7 linked regions of the Coturnix japonica genome follow. The protein of the gene in region 2 interacts with the protein of the main gene of each other region in a pairwise test. Links are inferred from orthologs where the notes say so. Each region holds a gene or a part of one and is shown on either strand. Other genes may lie near its edges.

The links.
Region 1: the proteins of LZTS2 (region 2) and FKBP6 interact in binary tests that used the Homo sapiens proteins (3 or more experiments, as listed by UniProt). The two-hybrid records come from large-scale screens. The link is inferred for Coturnix japonica from reciprocal best matches to the Homo sapiens genes LZTS2 and FKBP6.
Region 3: the proteins of LZTS2 (region 2) and USP2 interact in binary tests that used the Homo sapiens proteins (3 or more experiments, as listed by UniProt). The two-hybrid records come from large-scale screens. The link is inferred for Coturnix japonica from reciprocal best matches to the Homo sapiens genes LZTS2 and USP2.
Region 4: the proteins of LZTS2 (region 2) and NCK2 interact in binary tests that used the Homo sapiens proteins (3 or more experiments, as listed by UniProt). The two-hybrid records come from large-scale screens. The link is inferred for Coturnix japonica from reciprocal best matches to the Homo sapiens genes LZTS2 and NCK2.
Region 5: the proteins of LZTS2 (region 2) and ZGPAT interact in binary tests that used the Homo sapiens proteins (3 or more experiments, as listed by UniProt). The two-hybrid records come from large-scale screens. The link is inferred for Coturnix japonica from reciprocal best matches to the Homo sapiens genes LZTS2 and ZGPAT.
Region 6: the proteins of LZTS2 (region 2) and FAM161A interact in binary tests that used the Homo sapiens proteins (3 or more experiments, as listed by UniProt). The two-hybrid records come from large-scale screens. The link is inferred for Coturnix japonica from reciprocal best matches to the Homo sapiens genes LZTS2 and FAM161A.
Region 7: the proteins of LZTS2 (region 2) and TRIM29 interact in binary tests that used the Homo sapiens proteins (3 or more experiments, as listed by UniProt). The two-hybrid records come from large-scale screens. The link is inferred for Coturnix japonica from reciprocal best matches to the Homo sapiens genes LZTS2 and TRIM29.

The regions. Positions count from the first base shown.
Region 1 is NC_029534.1:197,457-199,716, reverse strand, and holds part of FKBP6 (inactive peptidyl-prolyl cis-trans isomerase FKBP6), read left to right. Parts: intron 1-28; coding exon 29-148; intron 149-752; coding exon 753-947; intron 948-1,253; coding exon 1,254-1,363; intron 1,364-2,260. UniProt on the Homo sapiens protein: Has an essential role in spermatogenesis. It is required to repress transposable elements and prevent their mobilization, which is essential for the germline integrity.
Region 2 is NC_029521.1:20,199,742-20,203,838, reverse strand, and holds the start of LZTS2 (leucine zipper putative tumor suppressor 2), read left to right. Parts: upstream 1-1,297; 5' UTR 1,298-1,517; intron 1,518-1,606; exon of another isoform or gene 1,607-1,699; intron 1,700-2,254; 5' UTR 2,255-2,293; coding exon 2,294-2,725; intron 2,726-3,115; coding exon 3,116-3,685; intron 3,686-3,885; coding exon 3,886-4,097. Other genes in the region: TWNK (twinkle protein, mitochondrial), read left to right, coding at 155-415. UniProt on the Homo sapiens protein: Negative regulator of katanin-mediated microtubule severing and release from the centrosome. Required for central spindle formation and the completion of cytokinesis.
Region 3 is NC_029539.1:3,556,091-3,560,300, reverse strand, and holds the start of USP2 (ubiquitin carboxyl-terminal hydrolase 2), read right to left. Parts: upstream 2,801-4,210; 5' UTR 2,587-2,800; intron 1,543-2,586; 5' UTR 1,468-1,542; intron 168-1,467; 5' UTR 127-167; coding exon 1-126. UniProt on the Homo sapiens protein: Hydrolase that deubiquitinates polyubiquitinated target proteins such as MDM2, MDM4 and CCND1. Isoform 1 and isoform 4 possess both ubiquitin-specific peptidase and isopeptidase activities.
Region 4 is NC_029516.1:122,011,144-122,015,190, forward strand, and holds the start of NCK2 (cytoplasmic protein NCK2), read left to right. Parts: upstream 1-1,247; 5' UTR 1,248-1,331; intron 1,332-2,044; exon of another isoform or gene 2,045-2,322; intron 2,323-4,047. UniProt on the Homo sapiens protein: Adapter protein which associates with tyrosine-phosphorylated growth factor receptors or their cellular substrates. Maintains low levels of EIF2S1 phosphorylation by promoting its dephosphorylation by PP1.
Region 5 is NC_029535.1:9,383,828-9,388,021, reverse strand, and holds the start of ZGPAT (zinc finger CCCH-type with G patch domain-containing protein), read right to left. Parts: upstream 2,801-4,194; 5' UTR 2,706-2,800; coding exon 2,089-2,705; intron 1,362-2,088; coding exon 1,228-1,361; intron 697-1,227; coding exon 538-696; intron 1-537. Other genes in the region: ARFRP1 (ADP-ribosylation factor-related protein 1), read left to right, coding at 4,192-4,194. UniProt on the Homo sapiens protein: Transcription repressor that specifically binds the 5'-GGAG[GA]A[GA]A-3' consensus sequence. Represses transcription by recruiting the chromatin multiprotein complex NuRD to target promoters.
Region 6 is NC_029518.1:13,374,259-13,377,021, reverse strand, and holds the end of FAM161A (protein FAM161A), read right to left. Parts: intron 2,637-2,763; coding exon 2,153-2,636; 3' UTR 501-2,152; downstream 1-500. UniProt on the Homo sapiens protein: Involved in ciliogenesis.
Region 7 is NC_029539.1:3,284,007-3,287,506, reverse strand, and holds part of TRIM29 (tripartite motif-containing protein 29), read right to left. Parts: intron 3,379-3,500; coding exon 3,283-3,378; intron 1,721-3,282; coding exon 1,487-1,720; intron 1,164-1,486; coding exon 965-1,163; intron 1-964.

The sequences.
Region 1 (2,260 bases), on a different chromosome or scaffold from region 2:
GCTGAAAATGAGGTATTTCCTTATACAGGAGCAGCAGGATACGTTTCCACTACAAAAGGTGTTGAAAGTCGCAGACGTGGAGAGAGAGTTTGGCAATTACCTCTTCCGTAGGCAGTGCTTTGATGGTGCCAAAGACAGATACAAACGGGTATGACACAAGAGAAAACGTGTTTTCACTCGTGAGTTGTGAAAGTGGTGATTTAGTGCTGGCTCACTGTAACAGGTGCACTGCAGAGATGATATGACTTCATCATATATTCAGGTGTAGTTCATTATTTAAGAACTGACCTGAGATGCTGTTGTACAAGTAGCAGTAGTAAATGAAAGAGGAGGGTTGGCAGAAATCTGCAGACCCTTCTTTCAGGAGTCCCTTCTGGACTCCCAGTTGGGAACAGAATACTTGAGGCTGGAAGAAGCCTCTGGATTTTGCCTAACCACGTGCTCGAGGGCAGCTAGAGCAGGATATTGCCCAGGATTGTGTCCATTTAGGCTATGAACATCTCTAAGGATGGAGACTCCCCAGCCTACCTAGGGAGTACCTTTTTATTTCAATGCTTTTAAGTTCCTTAATAGGTTGCTGCAGTCTTGTGACTGAGCTGGTTAGTCATGCTGATAGCACTGTGTGGTATATTTAGGAGTCTGATAACCTGGGTCAGTTAAAAATAATAAAGAGAAACATGGCTGTAGCTGGCTGATTGGGATGGATTTCTCATGGTAGATTTGTGTGCTGGTCCTTTTCCCTCTCTGCTCAGGCACACTCCATCCTTGGTCGCAGCCCTTCCAGTGAGGCAGAGCAGTGTCAGATTAATGCTTCCAAGTTGCTGGTGCTCCTGAATCTCTCAGTTACTTACCTGAAGCTGGAATGTCCTGCCCGAGCTCTGATGTATGGGGAAAAAGCCTTGGAGATTGACAGAAGAAACGTCAAGGCGCTGTTCAGGTGTGGTCAGGTGGGCAAAGATAAATTCCTCTGGTAGCCACATCAAGCAGTGACCCAGCCTGACTGGCTGTGTAATAAACAGAAGAGCCACTAAATTCTGGCCCAGGCCTCCTGAGCTCCTGCAGCAGTGGAGGTGATTCGTCAGCATCTGAAAATCTGCTTCTCAGTAAATCTGTCACACAAATCTTTGCTTGAGGGATTCCTGAGGTACCTATATCTGTCCCTGACATGTTTGTAGTTGTACGTATCTCAGTCCCAAAGGGTAGCAGCAAACCTATATTTATCTTTTAATGCACCTGTCTTCTTTCAATGGCAGGCTTGTCTCTGCATGACAGAGTATGAAAAAGCTCGGGACTTCCTGATCAGAGCTCAGCATATAGAGCCGTTTAACCGCGACATTAACAACGAACTGAAAAAGCTGGCAAGGTGAGAACTGCTTTCCATTGTTGTGCTTAGACAAGCTGAAAGCATCCCATGAAAACTACTAAAATACTCCAGGGTTTGTTTAGAAAATTAATAATAATCAAGCACCAAAGCTGTCGGGTAAGTAAATGTAGAGTGTCTTTTATTGTGGGAAAGGCTCACTCAAGGTCTTGCACAGGGTGGTTGCAGGTGATATGTCAGAAGCTAAAAGTATTCATTTGTTCCATAGAGTTTCTCAGAAGGGGGGTGTGATCCACTCCATCTGAGCCATATGGGTCAGGCCGATGGCAGGGAGGTGGAGGGCTGCTGAGATACCTCAAACCCAATGAAATGCAGTAGGTTGGCACTCAAGAAGATCACGTTCTACATTAATACATGGTTTTCATTTCCTTTAAGATGCGTCAGCTGATTACAGCTCTTTTTTGCACTGCAAGTGTTTCACTGTACAATGCTACAAATACTGATGTTCATCTGTGGGAATATCTTAAAAGTGAATTTCTTGCTGTCTTGGTAGTAACAGATGAGCAATCCCAAAGGCAGACTTTCCCTTTGCCTGCAGACTGAGTACAGCACAATTCTACCAGCCTTAGTCATGCCCTAGTCATGAAAACATGACTAACACTGGCCTCCATCCTCACTCTGTTCTTTTGCTTGAAACTGGCAAAACCAGCAGCTGGTTCCCATAAGTTGTGCTGTACTTCTGGCACTGTTCACGGGCACAGAAAGGGAGGAAGTCTCCAGCTTCAGCAATCCCAGAGCTGCCCTGAATAGGAGCCCTCTTTGGTGTTGCTGCTGGGTGTTTGCAGTAAGGCTTGGAGGGAACAGTAACATCTCAAATAAGAGTAGCTGGTATGACTTGAGACAGTCTGTGGGCTAAGGATCTTCACCTGGTAATGTTTT
Region 2 (4,097 bases):
TGTCCCCTGCCATCTGGTGGCACGCGGCTGATTGATGCTCATCAGCTGTGGGTGGGATGTGGCATGAGTTGCTCCGTGGGGTAGCAGGGAGGACGCTGGGTGTGGGGGTGCCCCGTGCCCTGCAGCACCCCCTGGAGATGTTCTCCTCCCCCAGGCCAGCCAGGAGGCCGACAACGTCCTCATCCTGCAGGACCGCAAGCTCACGACGGGTCCCGGGAAGCGCTACCTGCAGGTGTCCAAGAACCGCTTTGATGGCGATGTAGGCGTCTTCCCGCTGGAATTCAACAAGGCCTCGCTCACCTTCTCCTCCTACGGCAAAAGCAAGGCCAAGCTGAAGAAGGTGAAGGAGGAGAAGGCGCCTTCACCCAAGAAGGGTCCCAATGGAGGAGGTGTGGGTGGCTCTGGCAAGCCCTGAGTGTGGCAGGGACAACCTTGGTACTCGGGCACACCAGGTGCCGTGCGGCTGCGCTCCTCCTGAGCAGAGCACGATGCTGGGAGATGGGAGAGGAGTGGATGTGCAGGCTTTGGGGTCTCTGTACCCTGAGCAGGTCAATATAGGGTTGCTAAGTGGAGGCTGATGGCCCAGGTTTACCTCCCGCACGGTGTGGTGCTAGTGCAGCTCTGCCGGCTCTGAGCCCGGCCCCTCTGGCCACATGTACCACCAGCAGCAGTAGCAGCAATGCCTCAGGGACACAGCCCTGGGCGCCTCGGAGCCTCTCATGGCAAAACACTGTGTCTGAGCCAGTCCTCCCCAGCACAGGGGAGCCCGCCGTGGGCTTTTGGCCCATCCCTCTGTTTTCTTTACACTTTTATTAAAGCAGAGCTGTTCAAGCTGTTTGTCCTTCGCTGCATGAGCGTCCCCGTGCTCCCATCCCCCATCCCTCCAACTTTGGGTCCCATTCAGCCCCGTGTCCATGCTGTGCGTGGGGCAGGACGGCACAGCGGGGCCCCATGGCCCCACGCACACACACACCTCCCGCCCCAGCGCTGACCCAGCACCGGGCACCTCCCCGCCACCGCGCCCCACGGCTCCCACGCGTGGGGCCGGGAGGAGGCATTGGCCGCCGCGCCGGGAGCCGGGCCCATGGCGGAGGACGGGGATGTGGAGGTGAGCGGGACGCAGCCCCCCCCGTGCTGCCTGCGGGGCCGTGGTGCGGGCTGAGGCCCTGCCGCCCCCTGAGGGCCCTTCGCTGCCGTCGCTGCCCCGCGGCCCGGCCGTAGGGCAACCCCCTGCCGCCTCCCATCCGCCGCGGGGCCGGGGGCCGGGGGCGGCGGGGCGGGCGGGGCCTGGCGCGGGCCGGGCCGGCGGAGAGCGGCGGTGCGGAGCGGAGCGTGAGCGAGGGCGGCCGGGCCTGGGCCGGAACGGGCCGGTGGGACCCGCGGGGACACAGTGGGGCGCTACGGAGAGGAGGGACGGGGGGGGGCGGCCCTGACCCCGCTCTCTCTTCCTTTTCCCGGCTCAGGGGGCGGCGGAGTCGGGCCGGGACCCGCCGGACGGATGGGCCGCGGCCGGCCAGGTGAGAAGCGGGGCGACCCGCAACGGGAGAGGGGGCCCGGCGTCACCCCGGGGTGATGCTGGGGGCGGTGGAAGCGGGGGGCGGCCCCGGGGCGGTGCCAGCGCGGCGGGCGGAGCGCGGCGGCCCGAGCGCATCATGGGGCGGCCCGGCCCGGGTGGGTCCGGCTCGGCCCGGGGGGACGCGTCGGTGTGGAGCTCCAGGGCGGGGGGAGGGGGCGGAGTGGGGACCGTGAGCTGTGGGAGAGAGGGGTGTAGGGACGGGATTGGGGAGCGGGGTGATGTTGGTGCCGGGGTTGGGGGGGTTGGGGAGGAGGATGCTTCAGGATGAGGTGTTTGGGGCGTCTCTCTGAGGCTGGAGCTGAGGTATGGCAGTGTAGGCAGCGCTGTGGGGCAGAGCAGGGGTGCAGGACCGGGAGCAGTGGGGCAGAGAAGGCACCGTGACTGCTACGCAGTGGGGACCCTGCTGAGTGCATGGGGCTGCCCCTGTGGGGCTCTTCCTTTGGGCCCTGCACGGGAGCACTGGTGCTGCGTGAGCCCCCTGCATGCCCCGTGCCTCCCCCTGCTCCGGCTAATCCCAGCTTTATGCTGTTCTGCTCGACGCCTGCTCATGCCCGGCATATCTCTTGCAGCCATCCCACATCTGCCTGCGCCATTATGGGGGTCCTATATTCATTGGTGTCCTATGGGATGAGTGAGTGAGTTTATTGCTTAAGGCCTCACGTTGCCTTTCTTTTACAGGCTGCCTGCGCCCCCCTGCCCGCTGGGGGCCCCCCTGCCATGGCCATTGTGCAGACACTGCCAGTTTCCATCGAGGCCACGCCTGAGGCTGCTGCCCAGCTCCGCACTGCCACCCGCTCCCCCCTGCCCACCCACGGCACCATGGGCAGTGTGGGCAGCCTGATTGCCAGCCGACCATGCCACGATCGCTCCTGCCAGCCTGCTGGTGCTGGTGGTTCCTTCCGTGTGCAGGATACGCTGCTGCGAGCCAGCCCCCCGGATCCCCTGCTCCACACTTTGCCCCCCAAGAAGCCGTGCTCAGCCACTGCCCATGCCTACACCAATGAAGTTTTTCATGGGGAGTGGCTGGAGGCAGCCTCTCCCGTCAGCCCCTGCAGCGACTCAGACGAGGCACGGGATGAACAAGCCCCAAGTGGTGGCATCCGGGGGCCGCCCCCCAAGCTTGTCCCTGTCTCTGGCAAGCTAGAAGAGGTAAGGTGGAAGCAGTGCTGGGGGATCTGCTCAGCCCTGTGCTGCACTGGGGCTGCTGGGCTTGGGGAGACGTGCTGGTGCATGCATAGAGAGAGCACATGGTCCATGTCGCTGGGGGTGGTGGTGATCTCTGTGCTCCTGCTGCCCTCTTCCTCATGTCAGGAGTGGCCATGTGTGTGTGGGAGCCTGTCTGAAACTGCTGCATGGAGCAGAGGGCACCTAGTGGTCATCTTCTATAGAGCTGTGACACTCTGAGGTGTTGGGTGGGAGCAGAATTGGTGGGGTTACCAAGTCCTCCCTGGTGCTCTGGCAGCATCCCCAGCATCTGCCAGGCCACCTCTGGAGTGTACCTGGTCCCCAGATCCCACTCTCTCCTCTTTTGCCTTGCAGAATGTGGAGAAGACCCTGATCCGCCCTATGGCATTCAAACCGGTGGTACCCAAAGTCAGGGCTGCTCCGGGCCCGGCCAGCCAAGGGGTACGTCCAGGGGCTGCAGCATTATCAGAGAGCCAGGTGAGCCTCACCCACCTGCTGGGGACCACCGGGGCCGACAAGCCTGGCTCACTGAGCTGCCGCACCAGCAGCCACTCAGGCACGCTCTCAGACTCGGGACGCAACTCTCTGTCCAGCCTGCCCACCTACAGCACAGGCTGCAGCCAACATACTGAGCCTGGCAACCTCACAGCCACCCCTCACAGCCACCCTGAGCCCCCAGGTGGCTACCGCCCACCAGCCGGCCCCTCCAACTCGGACAGTGGGCGCTCATCCTCCAGCAAAAGCACGGGCTCGCTGAGTGGCCGGGGCCGGCCCTCCTCCGAGAGTGGCTCCTGCGGGCGCTCGCCGCTGCCTGGTGAGGAGGTTCTGCTGGTGCGTGAACTGGAGGACAAGCTGCGGGAGAGGGAGGCCGAGCTGCAGCAGCTGCGGGACAGCCTGGATGAGAATGAGGTGGCCATCTGCCAGGTAAGAACCATATAAGGGTAAGGAGAACCAGGGGAGCTCTCAGGGCTGGGGGTGCCCATATAGTCCTATTGTGTAGATTTGGGTTATGCATGCAGTGATGTGTCTGGGGAACCCCATGGAGATTGTAGATGCTGACTTGGGGAGACATGGAGGTGGTGTGGGATGTGGGATGTCCCATCTCAGCGTGTGCCTGTGCCCAGGTGTATGAAGAGAAGCAGCGTCGCTGTGAGCAGGAGCTGGAGGGTTTGCGGCAGCGCTGTGCGGCCCAGGTGCGACAGGCGGCCCAGCAGGCGCAGCGTGGGCAGCAGGTCCTGCAGCTCCAGGTGCTGCAGCTGCAGCAGGAGAAGAAGCAACTGCAGGAGGACTTTGCTCAGCTGCTGCAGGAGCGGGAGCTGCTGGAGCGTCGCTGCGC
Region 3 (4,210 bases), on a different chromosome or scaffold from region 2:
TGCATAGGCATAAGTGGAGCCGTAGGAGGTGTAGGAGCTGTAGCCACTGGGCATCTTGCTGTAGGTGTTCTCAGCATAGCGGGACGAGTCAACGTACCGTTTCAGTGTGGAGGAGAGCTGGGACATGCTGGAGGCTGGGGCTCAGAGGTCTTGGAAGGAGGCATGGGCTGCAAGAGAAGGGCCTGGGCTCAGCTGCATGGGCTATGACTGACACCAGACAGTGCCCACCCCAGGACCCCCACCTGGAGACCCTGTGCAGGGACCTGATACCACTGAATTAGGGCTTCACTGGGCATGGCAATGGGCACTCATGGTCAGCCGATGCCTCTGCATCATCATCCATCCCTGCTCCCTGCACGGTGCCTGGGGCCAAGCTGCAGCCACCACCCACCAGGGGGCATTGGGGACAGTGGGGACAAACAAGGGACACCGTATTGCAGCATACAGCCTGTCTGCCTGCCATGCCAGTGCCCTGCCTGCCTGCCATCAATAATTCAGCAGTGCAGGTGACCGCTGTGTCCCCGTCACCAGGCACAGCCAGCCTGCAGGGCAGTGTGACAGCCAAGCACTGGGTCCTATGGGGGGTGGTGGCTTCTCCCACACAGTGACCCATGCACAGGACAGGAGGGGGAAGGAGGCACCCGGAGCAAAGAAGGAACCAGCACAGAGTCAAAGACAGGGCAGCAAGAAACCTCCCACAAACAGGGAGGACAGCTCTCTCCTGTGCTGATGCAGGTCTCCTACCTGTCCCAGGGCTGTGCTGCCTCACATCCCTTCCCTGGCCGGACAGTGGTTCGTGTGACTCTAAGAGTCCCCTGTCACCCAGGAGATGACCCAGCTCAGAGGTTTTTCCCAGCCCTGCTGGGGCGGGCACTGGCCTCACTCCAAGGCAGCGTGGAGGTGATGGGATGGAGCCTGGCTTTATCCCTTCCATGCAGGGCACAGCTGGGCATGGGGATGGTCACCGAGTGCAAGCACCATGGGATCCTCCCTCCTCGGCCCTGGGCTGTGTCCTGGCTGCTATTGCTGAGGGAGCAGCAAGAGGAAACTATTTACAAGCGAGAGCAAGCCAGAGCGCACAGACCTGTTTGGGAACTGAGGCCGAGGGGTGAATAATCCCCTTGCAGGCAAACAAGCCACCAACACCCGGCTCTCCCTGGCCCATCCGTGCCAGCACTGGGAGGGCCCTGGAGCTGCTCTACCAGCCAGGATCCAGTGCATACTGTAGGGTTTTGCTGGGGGATGTGGGACCCAGCCAAGGACCAGCATTCCCATGGACATTGGGATGAGGGTGCTGGAGCCCTGTGGCTCCAACGGGGGCTTTCAGTCCATGGGATTAATCCCTAGAGGATACTGCCTGCCCTGGGGGTGTGGAGAGCTGATGTGCAGGGATATGGGGCTCAGGAGGGGGATCTTGCCCTGGACATAGCGGTGAACCCACTGGTATCATGGGAGGAGAGGTCTTACCATGTAGGGCTGCTGTGTCTGCTAGGATGATCTGCACCGTGCTGTCCCCATGTCATATCGCTGTGGACCCCAGGGCTGTGGGAGAGCGGAGTGTGCCATGAGCCCGAGGAGCTGAGGGGGTGTGAGAAAAACCCCGGTTCCTCCCATCGCTTCCTGACCTGCCTGGCCCCTCCCTGCCCAATAATAATGCTGAGCCTTTCTGATGCAAAGCAAAACCCTGAGGCTGGCATGGCTGAGTCAGGACTCCTGCAACCTCATCATCCTCCCTGGGGAAACTGAGGCACGGGAATGTCCGGTCTGTGGCCATGTGGCCATGAGCACTGCAGGGATGCTCATGTTGGGGAGCTCATTCCCAGCATTCCCAATAGAATCCCCATTGGTCTCCTAGGCATTGAGTGAGCTGACATTCACACTGGTGGCCCCGGTGGCAGCTTTCCCCCTTGGTGGCTGCAGAGCCCCAGGGTGAGCTCAGCTTACACAGCCCTGGCTCCAACCGAGGTGTTACGGCTCAGCTGCTTCTCACTTACGCAGGCTGTGAGCCCTGTCCCTGTGCCCTGAGACACAATGTCCCAGCCTGGAGGTTAATGCAGAGCTCCCAGCATGATGCCATAGGGGAGGCAATGGGGGGGATCCCATGTGGAACACCCTGCCCATTCCAGGCTGCTTTAGGGCTGAGGGTGCTGGGAGGGAAGCAAGGTGGGGGAGCTTTCCCCATGCAGTCACAGGTTGAGAATGCACCCAGCTCAGCACATGTGTGTTGCAGGCCTGGCGTCACTGCGCTGACACATCCCCACCTGGCTGCTCAGTGCTCCAGGGCCACCCCAAGGCAGCAAAATCCCAAACCCACAGTGGAACCCTGATGGAGGGCCCAAGGTGACTGCTTTGAGGTCTGCAGGTGGATAAAGAATAGGGAGCCTGGGGGGGGAAGTGGATGGGACATGGCTGTGCTCACCCAGGGGCCAAGTGCCAGGCATGGTCCCACCCTCTATGGAGATAGAAAAACATCTTTCCCATGGCTTCACCCCAAACAAAGGGAAAAGAGGGCAGAGTTAAGGGTCCCACTGACATCCCGCAGCCCCCTCCCCATTGCTGCTATCCCCCTGTGCTCCCTGCACTCACCAGTGGCTGCGCGCTCAGGGGTGCGAGGTTGGCACGGTGTGGGGTGAATGGAGACTCATGAGGCTGCCTTGTTTCAGTCCTCCCTCCTCGGGGTTCTTCCAGGGGCTGGAGGAGAACAGGGGGGTGTTGGGGGAGTTGTGGCAGGGTCTGATCACCCCGAGGTTCAGTTGGGAATGGTCCGGAGGGGCCGTGCCGGAGGGTTGTGGGGCAGCGTAAAAAACACACAGCAGAAATTCAGGGCTCAGGTTACCAGCTAGATAAATATAGAGTCTTTATCTGACCTCGCGGGGCGCCGAAATGCTCCTCTCGCATTCCAGCTTCAGGGAGGCTTAAAGGGGACGTGAGCCCAAGGTAAGGCCCACGGTAAGATGGGAAGGATGGGGAGGGGAAGGGGGGTTGTGGGGGTGAGTGAGGGGAGAGGGAAGGAGATGGGGGTCCAGGAGGGAATGGATTGATAAAGAGTAAGAGGGGAACGGGGAGCTGCTTTGGGTTTTGTTACATGGAGAAGAGCCCTGTGGGAGGGGGCCAGGAGCACCCACCCCTGTAACCCCATGGTGACACAGGGGGACATCAGGGCACAATCCTGGGTGCCTCTCCCTGACGCCTGACCCACCCCGTGAGCCGGCACCGCGGTGCCTGTGACTCAGCCAGCACCTGCTGACGATAATTAGGTGCGGGATGCAATTATGGTGGCATCTTCATCCCCGCTGCCCAGCTCCAGCCCCAAAACAGGGAGGGCCGATACGTCTGTGCTTGGGTGTGACTCCCAGAGGCTTCTATGGGGTCACCCATAGGGGGATATGCCCTGTGTCCAACCCCACTCCCACTCACTCCCTGCCCACTGGGCTGCCTCCACGCTGCAGGCAGGGCAGGATGGAGATGGGGTGCCAAGGGAGCCTGTGCCCATATGCCCACGGATACCTGGTGGTACCTACCCTGCACTGCCCCTCTCCCCATAGCGCAGGTGGCCCCAACCCTGAGCTCACAATGAGCCGAGAAGGGTTCTCTGGTATAGAATGGAAGCGTAGATGGGTGCAGAAGGGGGTCACCCCCCAGCAGGGCAAACCGTGCCCTCCCCCCCTATAGCCCCTCACTGCACACACATCTCCAACACACAACCTAAGGTTTTATTGTGCAGACAGAGGAAAACTCCCGGAGGACAGGTGTATTGTTGTTATCGTTATTGTTGCTTTTCGTAAGGTTGGCTTTTCTTTCTTTTTCTTTTATTTTTTTTTCTTTTTTTCTTTTTTTTTACCTTTTTTTTCTCCTTTTTTTTTCTTTTTTTTTTCTCTCCTTGACGACAAGCTGTGGAAACAACTACAAATGTTCACAAAAAGAATGAGACTTGGGAGACGTGTCCGCGTGGTCGGCCGGGCTCTGCCCTACCCCTGGCCACGTACAGCCTGGGCAGCACTAAGACAGCAAAGCAAGCGGGCAGAGACGGGCAGGAACAGGCATTGGGGTGAGAGGCATTGGGGGTGGAAGGCAGATTTTGGTGGCCGGAGAAAAGCAAGGAGTGGGGACCAGCTGCTGGGAGTTGCTCTCAGCTGTCAGGCACTGCACATGGAGATCAGTGTGAGTGTTGGCTCCTCAGAGCTGATGTTCTTGCCAGCATCTCCTCCTA
Region 4 (4,047 bases), on a different chromosome or scaffold from region 2:
CTGAGACCCCAGATATTTCCCAGCTCTCAAAAAGCCGGGGCAGGTTATGGTTCACAAAGGGAGATTAAAACTCCTCCAAATCAAAGTCAAATGTGAGCACGAAAGGAGCTGAAAAGAAAGGGGCTTTCCGTTCCTCCCTGAGGTACACACTTAGTCTTTCGTGGAAGAAACAAGAGGCCACATTTTCCTTTCAGTTTTATCTAGCAGGCATGTGAAAGGCAACTGAGGCTTCCGAAACCATCAATTAAATGCTGAAAGAACAGGTAGAAGTTTGCAAGGAGAAGAGGGAATTATTCACAGACTTCTAAACTATTTCAAACCAAAACACAGCAAAATCTCAGGATATGTATTTTTGTAACTGGTTGAAAGTTGGTACGAAGTTCCTCTCCATTAAGTTCCATGTTAGTTGGGGAAACAAGACAGAATTTTGTTGATACTGCTAAGTTTGCTTTGGGTTTGTGCATTTAATAATGAATAATGAGCTAAAGCCTAAACCAGCACTGGTAGAGCTCAAATCTCTTCATTAAGAGAGGTTTGTGTTGAAAAGTCAATTGTTTTACAGTGTCTCAAAGTGACTTCCTCTTGCAGCACTGATTTTTCCTTTTTGAACTCCCTGATTGCCTCCACAAGGACAAACCCTTCCAGTTCCCAATCTGCCAGTGGCACAAAGACACATAGTGGGTTAGCACAAGTATTCTGCCCTTGTGGGGCCTCATCTGTAGTATCATGTCCAGGTCTGGGGCCCTCAGCACAGGAGGGATGTGGAGCTGTTGGAATGGGCCCAGAGGAGGGGCATGAATGTTGTCAGAGGGCTGGAGCACCTCTCTTACAAAGAAAGGTTGAGGGAGCTGGGCTTGTTCAGTGTGGACCAGGCTCCAGGGAGATTTCATTGCAGCCTTTCAGTATTTGAAGGGAGCTTACCAACAGGAGGCAGATCAACTTTTTGCAGTTTAACAGTGACTAGGCAAGTGGGAATGGTTTTAAGCTAGAAGAGGGGAGATTTAGGTTAGATGCTAGAAGGAAATTCTTTACACAGGGGATGGCGAGGTGCTGGCATTGCCACTCAGAATAGCTGTGGTGCCTCATCCCTGGAGATGCTCAAGGCCAGGTTGGATGGGGTGCTGGGCAGCTTGAGCTGGTGGGGGGCAGCCCTGCCCATGGCACTGGGTGGGGTTGGGTGGTCTGTGAGCTCCCTTCTGACCCAAGTTATTCTATTCTTCTGTGACACAGGGCTGCGGCTGGAACTGGGTCCCACAGCACTACTTGATGAGGCCGCAGGTTGAGTCAGTCCTTCATCCCACCATTGATTTTACCCTCAACATCAGCTTTTGGTAAGTCATCTTGAAGACCTTGTGGGAAATACTGGCTTTCAGCACTCATGCCTGGCAAAGTTGTGGAAGCTTCTCCCTGGAAGCATTCTAGGCCAGGCTGGATGGGACTTTGAGCAACCTGGTCTACTGGGAGGTGTCCCTGCCTACAGAAGGGGGTTGGGACTAGATGATCTTAAAGGCCCCTCCAACCCAAACTATTCTGTGATTCTGTGCATGGAGTGGCACAGCAGTTTTCCAGAAGGGCACAATCTTGTGGCAGAAGCTTTCTGCTATGGGCAGAAAGCCAACAGCTCTGTAACTTCAACACAAAGGCTGCCGAGGGAGGGGGGTGCTGAGATGCACCTATGGCTCACACCTGCCCAAGGCACGCAGCAAGGGACTGAAGGGGACAGTTTCCACGCCGGATGCCTTCTCCACACGGACAGCAGGTAACAGCCCCAGCACTAGCACCACAAGCGGGTTCCCCCCGTTTCTTTGAGCACTTTCCCCGGAGATCTGGGAGGCACCCCCAGCCCCCAACCGGGCCGGGCCTTCCTGCTGCTGGAGGTGGGGGAAGGAAGGGCGGGGGCGGGCGGAGGAAGCGCCGGCACTCCCGGAGCGCGAGGGGGAGCCCGGGGAGCTCCTCCCGCGCGATCCCGGCAGCGGCAGCGGCAGGAAGGGCAGGGCGGGGGCGGGGGCTGTGCGAGGTGGGGGCCGGGCGGTCGATCGGGCGGAGGAGGGGCCGGGGCCGCCGCCGGCTGAGGGAGGCGAGGAGCGGAGCCGCCGAGGGCCGGGGCCTTGGACGCGTCCGGAGGAGGAAGAGGAAGGGGGGGAGCCGGCCCCTCTCGGAGCACGCAGCCCGCATCCGCTTGTGGAAGGGAAGAGGGAAGCGGAGGGGGGGGGAGCGAGCGAGCGGGTACCGCCGCCGAGGAGACAAAGAAGCGGAGCCCGCCCGGGCTGGGAGCCTCCCCGCGCCGCTCCGCCCCGCTCCCACCGGCCGGGCCGGGCCGAGGTGAGCGCACCCCGTGGGAGGGCGGGACGGGGCCGCCGCAAACTTGTGTCGGCCGTAGGGGACAGGAGGTGGGGGCAGGGCGGAGGGGGGTCACCTGGGCGGGGGCTCCCCGGGGAGGGGGCAGGTGGCGGCGGGGGGTGGTGAGGGAAGGGGCCCGGCGGGCTCCTGACAGCCGCCGCTTTGTGTCAGCGAGGGGAGAGCGGCACAAAGGAGAAGTTGGCCCGGGGAGGCGGAGGGGTCCCTCGCAGCCGGGGCACGGCCGGAAAGTTTTGCGGTGGGGGCGGTGTGCGGGGCAGTGCGGGCACGGGCTGACCCGGGGGCCGCGGGGAATATTCTGGTAAGCGGCTGCCGAGGGTTTTGTCGAGCAGTGGCCGCTTAAACGGCATCGAGCTTTAAACAACAAAAAAAAGGAAAGAAAAGGAAAGGGGAAAAAAAAAAAAAAAGTTGGGATGACACGTTGCGTGCCCAGGAAGCGCGTCTCGGGGGGTTGGGGTGGGAATTGGCTCTTCCTCTCCTCGCCGTGCCCTGTGTAGGAAGCTGCCCGAGCACGGGGAGCTGCCAGTCCTCTGTGGAGTTTGCCTCCTCGGTTCTGCTGGCTCGGGGTTTATTTTTACGGCTTTATGGCTCGTTGTGAGCATCAGAGTTATTCTGTGAATTGACTGAACGTTGCCGTGTTCTTTTGTTAGCTCAAAACTTGAGCGAACTCCGTTCCTTTTGTGTGCGGTGATGTGTGTGCTCCTGAGAAAGTGCTGTGGCAGCCGCACGTTCTGTGCGGGTTCCTCACATGGAACACGCCGTTGCCCTTTATAAAAACAAACCTCCATGGTTCAGCCTGTGCATGGCTAATGTCATCTGGAGCCGGGCATGGAGGCATTCAAAAGGGCAGAGCTCATGCAGGGCTTCTTTCTGAATGCGTTCCTGCCCCTGCTTGTCAGCATCAGTACCGCAGAGGAGGTGTTTGTGGTACTGTGTGTGTGTTCGTAGGACTAGAGCTGGAGCGAAATCACTTTGTGACTCACAGATACTGGTATTTTTCAGCTCTGGAGTTGAAGTTGGGTGTCCCACCCTGGTCAGCATCAGCAGCCATGTCCTCATATCTGACTTTCTCCTTGAAACTTAGCCAGGCAGTGTTGCTTTCGGGAGCAGTGCATAAATGCAGACATAGGAGGCACCTGTACTGCTAAGATCACAGTTGTAATTAGCTAGTATCTGTATGTAGGCCATGAAGCAGATCTGGTCTCATTATACCATCAGCTCCCCTCGCAGTTTTTCTGTCAGTGTATGGTTAGCTGCCCCTATGAGCCTTTTACTTCTGCAAGATAGTGTTTCCAATTGCTGTTACAGTTACCTCTTTTGCTGTGTTCCTCCAAAAACAGGAGCAGAGTTAGTCCGTGGTTGTCTGGACAGTCCCTTATGTTAGTCCTTATTGTTAAATATATAATCAGTTCAAAGCTCCGGCCTTTGCCTTGTTTCTGTGCTGAAAAGGGAACTCATTCCTTTTCTCTCCTTCCTCCTGTTTTCTCCCTAGTTTCTTTCCTAGCTGTGTGGTAGCGTTAAAGGTGTTTGCGCTCTTATGTGTCACCTCTCATGTACTGTGTGCTAAAGAAGAGGGACAAGGTCAGCAGCATCTGCTTTGTTTCCAGGCTTTGCTATTTATTTTTTTTTCAATTTTCTTTTTTTTTTTTTTTTCCTTCTTCTGTGTGTGTGTGTGTGGCTGCTGACATG
Region 5 (4,194 bases), on a different chromosome or scaffold from region 2:
CTGTGGCACATAATGTGCTTAATTAGTGCCTCCAGTGCATGTCAGTAGCATGAGGATTCTCTAGGCTACTATGCTAATGATGTGTTATTAGCACTCAATAATCTCCATTAGGCTGAATTTACTGAGCAATAGGACACAGCTTTGTCCCTGTGACAAAACAGGGGCACAGACAGAGTGCTATCTGTGTATGCTCAGAGAACCTGGTTCTGTTGGTGTCACCTCTTCATAGTAAAAAGCCAGGCACAGCTGTTACTCATCAAGACACTGGGAGGTTTGAATACCTGTGCCTGGGATCTCTTACTCCTGTTGTGTTATACAGCTCTGTGTAGGCTCCGGAGAGATTAGAAGTCTCCTGTTTTACTTGCTCAGCTCACACACCCACTTGAAAAACAGACTAAGAACTGGAACTCCATTATAAAACATTGCGCCCTCTACCTGCTGCTACAGAAACATTTGAGCTTCACCAGACTCATACTGGTGACAGAAGGCAGACACAGATCACAAGGCACTTCTCTCACACCCCCACCACCCTCTCACCTTTAGCATAACCAGAATCATCAACACTGTCTTCATCAGATTCAGCAGATGAGGCACCATCTTCGCTTCGTAGTGGGGGAATTATACTATCTCCTTCTACAACAGCTTCCTTTAGCAGCAGGGAATCAAACTTCACCGTGTAGTAACCACTGTCAATATCTACAGAAGGAAAAGCAAGAAACAAGAGTTCAAGTAAACTCTCAATACAAACACTGCAGAGAGCTTCCTCAAAGTTGGCTTCAGGGAATGATGCGGGAGAGGAGGAAGGCCTGAAGAACACGTGTTAAAACAGCTGAAGGCTTAAGAGATTTACTTATAAAAATAGAGGAATATGGGCTGTCAACAAATGGAACTAAAAAGAAGTTTGACTTACTCCCTCTGACCCAACAAGTGCCAAAGAAAAAAACTTCTCAGAACAGAGGGGAGCCTCTATCAACAGCTCCCAGATTACTGCAGTTCTACTCTAATATGCAATTGTATATGCATGTATATTTCCTATCCTATTCCCTTCCCAAGCCTGACACAACTCAGAACACGTTCTCAACTACCTCCAGATTTTTAGTTCAAGGCCACAGCTACATCCTCAAGTGTTTGCTATCATTAACCAAAACGGTCATACTTTGTAATTCCTTCAGCATGGGTGCTCAATCTCTACACAGCTCTGGCACAACACCCACAAACACCACTCACCAGTTATTTTGGCAGCATACCATATCCCATCACTGTGTTTGGCCAGGCAGGCTGAGCCCACCTCCAGGGTACTCAGATTGGGCTCCTGAAAAGGCTGAAGCTCCTCCACAGAGACCACCTGGCCATGTGAAAACCTGCCAGGGAAGACAGAAAAGGAGTCAGATCTACCTCACTAGAAAGGGCTTGAAATATAAACCCCTTCCTTCCTGACAGGAAACTCAAACAAATTGTCAGCAGTGATGAATCTGCATCAGAAGGTTTATCATGCATCATTTCAATTAAAGAAGTCATTCGTTTTTCACCATATTCATATAATTTATGCTGTGTAATAGAAGAAATAATCCCACTCCCAAGAATGAAGCTTTCCCTGATAGGGAGATCTCTGAAAAATCACAGATCTTTTGAGATAATGAGGACTGCACACAGACACAGAGATCTCAGCCTCCTGCTCAAAGCAAAGCCAACTTCAAAGCCTGATCAGGCTGCTTAAGGCCTCATCTGGGTTAGATTTGAAGCTCTCCAAAGATGGAGACCCCGCAGCTGGAACAAAGGTACCATCAACAGACAGCCCTGGGTGTTTTTGTTTTAACTCATAAGCCTGTGACTAAAGTAGCTATTGGAATGATCAGGTAAAATCTCTGCAACTTGCCCACAGGGATTTCCACTTCATATCTGCATTACCTGAACTGTCCAGCTCTTTGATACCACCTGTTACCATACATAATGGATTTTAATAACACTGCAAAATCCCATTGGTTACAACAGCCAGCGTGGAACACTCAGATGTTCCAGCCTTTGAATCACACGGCCTTTATCAGCAGCGAGGATACGAGCCCCCTCCCCCTCCATATTTTTCTTTACCGACAGTTCTCTTTAAATCTGCATTTGTCATCCAAGAAGAACGGGCACGGCTTCAAGGACTTGTGAGTGGGGTAGAGATACAGCACTCTGACACCTGCACTGCCATCTTCCAAGTACTCCGTCCCCACAATCATGGCATTATGATACTCCAGCGTCCCCCACGAGCTGTAATACGGCGCTTTAACCTTCATCCCACTCAATTCCTCCTCCTCCTCCTCTCTATCAGACTCTTCCTCGCTGCATTTCAATTCACTCTCCTTGCTTTCTTCGTCTCCCGTCGCAGATCTCTCGCTGTTATCAGCTGAGGGCTCACCATCAGTCCCCAGCTCAGCAATGGCTTCCTTGAAGGCAGCATATTCCTCATCCTGGGCACAGCTATCGGGATTTTCACGCTGATTTACACAGGAGGCGCTTGTATCCAACGCAGCCAACAACTTGCTCTTCTTCACAGCCACCAGGCTGGACTCGGTCAGTTCTATCAGCTGCTTTAAATCTTCTTGTAACTGAATCAGATCCGATCGCTGCGAGGGGTCCTGGCCCGCCCCCAGAGCCAGCTCAACCTGCTGCAGCTGGGCGTTGTAGGCCTGGATGGCGGCTTCCAGGCTCTCCTCATCCATTGCGAATAGAAGCCAGGCCCCGGTTTAGGCCTCAATCCGAACCTCCCCGCTCAGCTCCCGCACCCCCACAGCACGGCCGCCATTACGCCCCCCCCACTTCCGCCCTTCTGAGCAGCCACTTCCGGCTTTTCCAGCTGTCGCGCAACGCCACTTCAGCGACCAATCTCTCCGTAGTGCGCTTGCGCAGTCGGGCCCGCCCCACGCATCCGGCGCCGCTGAGCATTCTGGGAGTTGTAGTTTAAAATAACCCCACCTCCCCGCCATAGAGGCGGTGTGAGAACTACACTTCCCAGAGTGCCTCGCGAGGGACGGCGCCGGCGGCTGGTGTGGTGGGGGAGCGAGGCGGCGCTGGGTGACGGGAGGAGCTCCCGGTACCGGGTGAGGGGCTGCGGTGTGCGCTGTGCGGCCGGGCCGGGGCCTGCGGGGTACGGAGGGACTGTGGAGGGATCTGAGAGCTCAGCCGGGCTCTGAGGGGTGGGGACGGCGGGGAGGGCTGCGGGCTGTGGGGCAGGGGGGGTCTAAGGGGCGTTGTGTTGTGACCAACTGCTTGTATAGCGGGTGCTGCAGCAGCACTGCTGTTGGAGAGAGGAGGGTTTGGGATAGGTGAGGGTTCCTACACACACCGCCTGGGTACGTGGTTTGAAGTTAAAAGAGGGAAGATTTAGGTTGGATGTTAGGGGGAAGTTCTTCACTAGGAGAGTGGTCAGGCCCTGGAACAGGCCGCCCAGGGAGGTTGTGGATGCCCCGTCCTTGGAGGTGTTCAAGGCCAGGTTGGACGGGGCCATGGGCAACCTGATCTATGGGGTCTCTATGGGGTCTCTATGGGGATCTATGGGGTCTCTATGGGGATCTATGGGGTCTCTCTGGTCTCTATGGGGATCTATGGGGTCTCCTGGGCAACCTGATCTAGTAAAGGTGTATGTTTGGTGGCCCTGCCAGGCAGGGGGGTTGGAACTACATGATCCTTGAGGTCCCTTCCAACCCGGCTCATTCTGTGATCCTGTGATCTGGCTGTGAGCTCGGTTCAGCTGTTGAAGATCCCATAATACTGTCATAAACAAAGTGAGGGGGCACCAACCTGCACATTCCTGCTCAGAACACTCCTCTATATCTGCACACCACTGGCTTCTTTTCTACGAGTCTTATATGTTCTCTAAGTTACTTTCAAGCAGACTTTAGCTTGCTCTTAAGTCCAAGAGAGAACAAACTTTGAGTTGAGAAGTGAGTTCATAATGGATGCTGTGCATTGTGTGCTGAAACACAGGTTAAGCTACTTGGAAGATCATGTTTTGAACATTGGATCTTGAGCTGTTTGCACTCTTCCTTTTGTGTCTGTGATTTGTCCTAGGGTTGGCTTAAGAGTTACTGATAAACGAGTAATGTCACTTATTAATCTGATGTTGGGAGAAGTTTAGATCATGGAGTGGAAGAATTCTGGAGATAATCTGTTTGTTAATGATTTCCTGGCATCTGTTGCAGGAGCAGGATG
Region 6 (2,763 bases), on a different chromosome or scaffold from region 2:
TGGAAGCTGCAGCTTTCCTTTGTTTAATTATTTTTATTTTCATAAAATAAATGTGCTGTGTTGCTGGTTTTGAGCTTCCAAGAAGCCAGGAAAGCATTATTTCCCTCATCTGCACAATGGAGCCCTCGTTTGGCAGTTTAATTAGGAACAGCACTGTGAAGTTTAGATCTAGCCTTTCCCTCCTTTTCCTATCCCTAGGGTGCAGTCCAGTATATATGATTTATGCTCTGAAATATCACACGTGGCTCAGATCTTTCCACTCCCTCCTTCTCAAATTTCCCAAGTGGTGAGGGAAATCCCAAGACATTGAGGACTAATGACTACTTTATAGAAGTTCGTGTTATTACCTGTATGATAGTAATGTCTCTGTTTGTTTGCCTTCCGCAGTTTCTCATACAAAAGCTGCATTGGATCCTTGAAGAGAGACCTAACAGACATTCACCTCAGCAAAGCTCTTTGAGGACTTTGGATAAAAACGGAAAAGCAGAGCTAAGACAATAGAAACTTACATCATTCTGTATTGAAACAACCAAAGCAATGCTATCAGATTCAGTTGTTAATGTGTAGTACCGGTAGTAAAAGGGACTTGTAACATTTCTGTGTATGTGTTTTCACATGGCTGCCGAATAAAGGATAGCCATAGGCAGGTTGTAGCAGAACATTCACTCTGGGTACATAAGCTACATTTCAAAAATAAATCAGGGGTTTTCCTTAAACTTACACTTGAATTCTAAAAACCATTCGAGCAAGCTTGTACTTTGATCCTCACTCTGTGATGTCACGTGCTACCTGTTTCCATGTCAGCATGAAGGTCTGTGTGTATTTGGGCATATTGTTCAGCTGCTGTGTAACACTGAGTTAGGCAGGCTAGTCTTTCTGCATGGCTTAAGTTATTAAAAGGAAAGATCAGATGCTAGTTGTTTGTCATGCAGAACACAGCTGTCTTGTACACTTTTTTAAAAACAGAGGAGACTTTATTAAACAAATGATACTAACTGAGTGCCTGTTTGTCTTTGTATGTTGCATTCCTTAAGATATAGCAACGAGTGACATGAGTGACACAGAGCAAAAGTAACACCTATTAATGCAACTCATTCACCCGTCGTTTGGAAGCTTGGAAGTCAGGTTGCTGCCCTGAAATGTTTGCTCTTTACAACATGGTAAGTCCTTTAGATCCTTCATGGGGATCATCAAAATCCCTCAGCAGCTGCTCCATATGCTGCATTGTGCAACTGTTCACATTTATATCAAGTTAATCAGGGGCAGAACAACTTTTGGAAGCTTTATTCTTCTACCTCACTTGTTCTATCAGTGTTAGAGCTCAGTGAAAACTAAAAATGATGGCTCTCAATGTATTTGAGTGCATTTCTTTCTCCTCTATATGCCAAGCCTTCAGTAACAGTAATACTATTCCTATATTAGCTGCACAAAACATTCATGTTGACCCATCTAACAACTAGTTTCCTCCAGAAGCAGTCACCTCCTTCTCCTCTGACCCTGGCACTCTCCTGGCCCATCATTGAGCCAATCCAGCTTGCTGGTGGGAGCAGACAGGAGGGGGGAGCCAAACAGGTAAGCTTGGCTGTTTTGTCTGACCACAATGGTCTTCCTTGTAGCTGCTCTACTAAACACAACCTGAGGTCTTGGACAACAAACCCTTGTTGCTTCATTGCCGTCCTAGAAGATATTGCAGGAACAGAGCCCAAAAGGGCCTCAGTGTTTGAAACGGGGAGGCAAGAGCAAGTTACTGCTGGATGTGCTGAGACCTCAGTACTTAACAGCACAGTTCACAAGACATTATTAAACACTGGTTGCTGAAAACTCTAGGAACAGTAGTGCATGGGTGGCACTGAAGTCTAGATTAAAGAAGAGGAATGTAAAATAACTGATTTTTTTCTTGGTGGGGATGAATAACTTAATCTTTCATATTGGAAAATCAACACAATTTCTGTGCTGGAAAGACTGTTAAGCTAAGAGTTTTAAATTCACTGTTTTTCTTATATTAGTAGTAAAAAACATTGGGGGGTTGGACTCGATGATCTCTAGAGGTCCCTTCCAACCCCTACAATTCTGTGACATGATTTTGGTATCTATTTCAATGCCAGCAATGAAATAGGTTCCAGAGCACCAGGCTGCCCTATCTGCCTTCCCTTCAGTCAGCCTCCTCATCACTGGGCTTCTCATCAGAATCATCACTTTCATATTCCTCATCCTCATACTGGAAAGCACCCTCAGCTTCGGGGTCAGACTGACCCTCCTCTTGCTGTCCATTGGACTGACCAGACTGAGAGCTGGGTCTTGACCTATCCTCTTCTTCCTCATTCTCTTCCTCCAGGGAATGGCCAAGCAGAAGGCCTGCCTTTGCTTCTTCCTCCTCCTTTTCTTCTTTCTGCTCCTCTTCTTCACAGTGCTGGTTGGAGGTGGGGCTGGATCTGGCCTCCTCTTCACAGTGAGGCTGCTGAACCTGAGGGCTGGCTGGTGTCTCTTCCTCTTCCTCCCCCTCAGCAGATTCACCATCCCAGCTGGGAGTTCTGATGCCTTTTATCTTCTCTTCCTCAAAGGATTGCTCAGACTGGGGACTGATGCTGGCTGTTTCCTCAAAGAATTCCCTTCCTTTCACTTGATCCTTGCTGACTCTGTAAAAACAATTTGTATGGGATTTTTATTCTCAGACAGAATGCTTTCCAGGAGGTTTTAAAAGACTTACACACTCAGGTAACTTAGGGCCAATCCTGGCACCCTTGGCTGGGGTAGAACTGGGAA
Region 7 (3,500 bases), on a different chromosome or scaffold from region 2:
CTTGAATTAAATGCAGGCTCCTTGGGGCCAAGACTTGCTCTTTCTCTTCCTAATGAAGGAAGGCAGCACTCTATCACTTGATGAATGCAGTGACTCTCATTACACATCCAAATGTACTCTGCTCCCATGTCTCCTTCATTCTTACTGCTCTAAATCATGAATGTCAGGCTGATTCACAAACATCAGCCTCTGAGAAACACTGTTTGTTCTCCAGTAACATGTCCCATGTTGGTCTGACTCGTGCTTCTATTTGCTTTTTCAGTTGTTTCCTCCCCATCTCTTTTATCATATCATCTTGTAATGTGCATCTGTCTTTTGTGGAAGCTGGAGACATTGTGGTGATCTTTTGTTGTGTGAAATGGGCTTCAAGTCTATTCCTACATCTTTTTGAGCCACCTCTTCTGGACAGCAGGCTGCAATTTATCCTCAGGTTACCAATCCAGCTTCTTGACCTTTATTGCTCTGCTATCTGCGGTCCCACAATTAATCATAATTTAGACCTTCCTCACAGCCTGGCGAGACAAGGATTTACTCCCATCCCTACTATTCTTAGTGCAAGAGGTCATTTAATGGGATTAAGTACCATGCCCAAGGTCACAAAGGCTGTTTGTGGGACAGCTTGGAAGTGAAACATGGTTATGGTGTCCAGTCTCACAAACAAGCTTTATGCAACACAAGTCCTCTGCAGAACTGATGGGAAGAGACTGAAAGAAAGTGGGTTCAAAGCCTTAGAAGATTCCTTGCATTGCTGTGGTATTGACCATACCCTCCCTGTTTACATAAGAAAGATTGCTCATCCTTAATCACTCCAGGAACCCATGAGCTCTGCATTTCCCTGAGACAGGAGCTGAGGAAGCACAGCTCTGCTTGGTGGGACCTTTCTTATAATCCCACCTCCTCTTTTACCCAATGAGCTCCTGAGCCAGGCTCTGCCCAGGTATGGGACATCTCTGGGTTACTTTACCATTCTCCATGTGGTTCCTCTCGATGAAGTTGCGGCCAAGGTCTGCTTTGCAGATCTTCTCCACGTGCCTCATGCAGACATTGAGGAGGTCATCGCGGAGCAGCCCCATGGAGGGGCTCATGCTCTCCCCTTCGAGCAGCACGCTGTACGTAGGGAGGGAGGGAGGGGGAACGTAATTCCTCATCAAAGCCCCAAACTCCTGTCAAAGAGAGGAGAAGAGAGATTATTCAGGAATATAAGGAGAAATCCCGAGAAACTGTCTATGTCAGGCTCCAAATAACACAAAGAGGGAGGGAGAATAGTGAAGATGGATGGGAGGTAGTCAAATGCTTTGGCTGTGTGCTCTAGCCACCAAAACAAGGAGGAAAAGAGGGTTTGGCATGCTGAAGTTCATGCTTCATGGGAGCAGACACAGCTTGAAATGCCAGGGCTGGTTCCTCACGTACATATGCATTGAACTGGAACAGACAAGTGCTTCCTATGATGTCTGAGAAAAGGAAAAGCAAATGAGGTCTTTCTGACCTGGAGGAAGAGCACGGAGTCACTGATCTGATGGATCTGCTCCCTGTTCTCCTTGTCCTCCCGCAGCAGCTTTGCCCTCTCTTCCAGCTCATCCACAATCTCTTTCACGTTCTCCGAGGCAATCTTTTCCCTCTGATCCAGAGCAGCCTTCACTTCATCCCTCTGCCTCTCCAGGTCCCGGATCAGCTCCTTGAAATGCTGATCTACCGTTGCTTTCTCATTGGTGGTGTAGTTCTGTGGGGGCAAGGGAAGGAGAGGGAAGGCAGCAGAAAAGACACAATAAATGGTGAGAAACAAGAGGTGAAATCTCGCGTGGAGCCACTTGCTAATAAGGGATGTTGGTGGGGTTGCATCCAAGCACTTGATGGAACAGGAGGGGAGGTTCAGATTGGATATTAGGATGAATATATTGTCAGAAAGAGTTATTGGGCACTGGCACAGGATGCCCAGGGAGGTGGTGGGGTCACTGCCCTGGAGGTGTTCAAGGAAGGGGTATGTGTAGTACTGAAGGACATGGTTGAGTGGGCAATATTGGTGGTAGGCGGACTGTTGAACAGATGATCTTAAAGATCTTTTCCAGCCTTCATAATTCTATGATTCTCAGCATTGGGACTATGACTATGGAGACTTTAGGTATGCAATCCTTAGCACCAGAAAGCTATGCTAAGATAAGTAATATGAATTCTTGCAGTAAGTGTGTATATAGATAGTGCCTGCTGTCTTCCTCATTATAATAGCATCTCTTCAATTCGTGAGCTGCACTCCTAAGTGATATTTAAAAACAATGTCTAACTTTCTAAATCATAACTCTGGCTCCTCCAGAATTTAAGGACCAAATTCTCTCCATTTCAGTAGATGAAAGCTGCTGAAACACTTCCCATCAACCTCTCTCCGTCCCTCTGAAATACTCCTCAGAATGACTATGGATGTAACTATATTCAGAATTACAATTTCTAGGCCACATTTCCAATAATAGTAATAGTGGTGGTAATAATAATAATAATAATAGAGGAGACAAAAAGCAGAACTGGCAAGCCAGTGTGTGTGTACCACATAAAAGGGAGAAGAACGGCTTTGCTTATTAATATTATGCAAATTCTCTGGGGTGTCTTCAAATGGTGTTTTCACTGCTCTATTCAGTTAGGGTGTAAATTAAAGAAAATAAAACAAGGCACCGTGACTATATTCTAACCCTCGTGTGGTGAGAGGATTATAAAGGAGACCTCTATCAGTATGGAAATGAGCTGTTCCACTATAAACAAGGCGTAGCTACACCTGGTTGCTTTAGAATCATAGAATGGTTGGACTGGGGGGGGGACCTCAAATATCATCTAGTTCCATCCCTCAGGGTCGCCCAGGATCCCATTCAATGTGGCTTTAAGCACCTCCAAGAATGGAGGCGGGCAATCCAGAGCACTTCTGGAGTTGATTTTCTAAGTGGACCAGCAGGAGAAAGGCAGCATGCTTTTGTTTCCAAATGGACCTGGTTGTTGGTGATGGTAGAACCATAGGAACCTAAAGCAGGGAGGTGTCCCGAGCCATTTCATAACAGGGCTGTGCAGACTTCTCTTGCCTCCTGCAGGATGTGTTGCAAAATGACTTCAGTATGAGTTGTTGTTGCCAAGATGTAGCGTGAATGAGTGTTGGAAAGTGATGAGGTAGAGGCTAGGTAAGGAACGGAGTGAGTAAGAGCTGGATATGCCAGGAAAACTGAGGGAAGAAAGAGTGATGGGAGAGACTGGAAAAGAAAGAGACAAGCATAGGACAGATGGAAAAGTGAATATCCCCCCACGCACCTTGATACGGTCCCTCTCCTTCTGCCACTTATCCACTTCATCTTCAACCTCGATGATCTTCAGCTGCAGTTGCTCCTTCTGCAGCGAGAGCTCAGCCTGCAGGAAGAGAGGAGATGCATAAGCAAGGGCTGCATGGCGTGCCTTGAGGAATGCTGTGCTGCATTACATTGCAGTACAGACTGCTTGGCATTGCTTGAGGTGGAGACAGGGGATAAGGT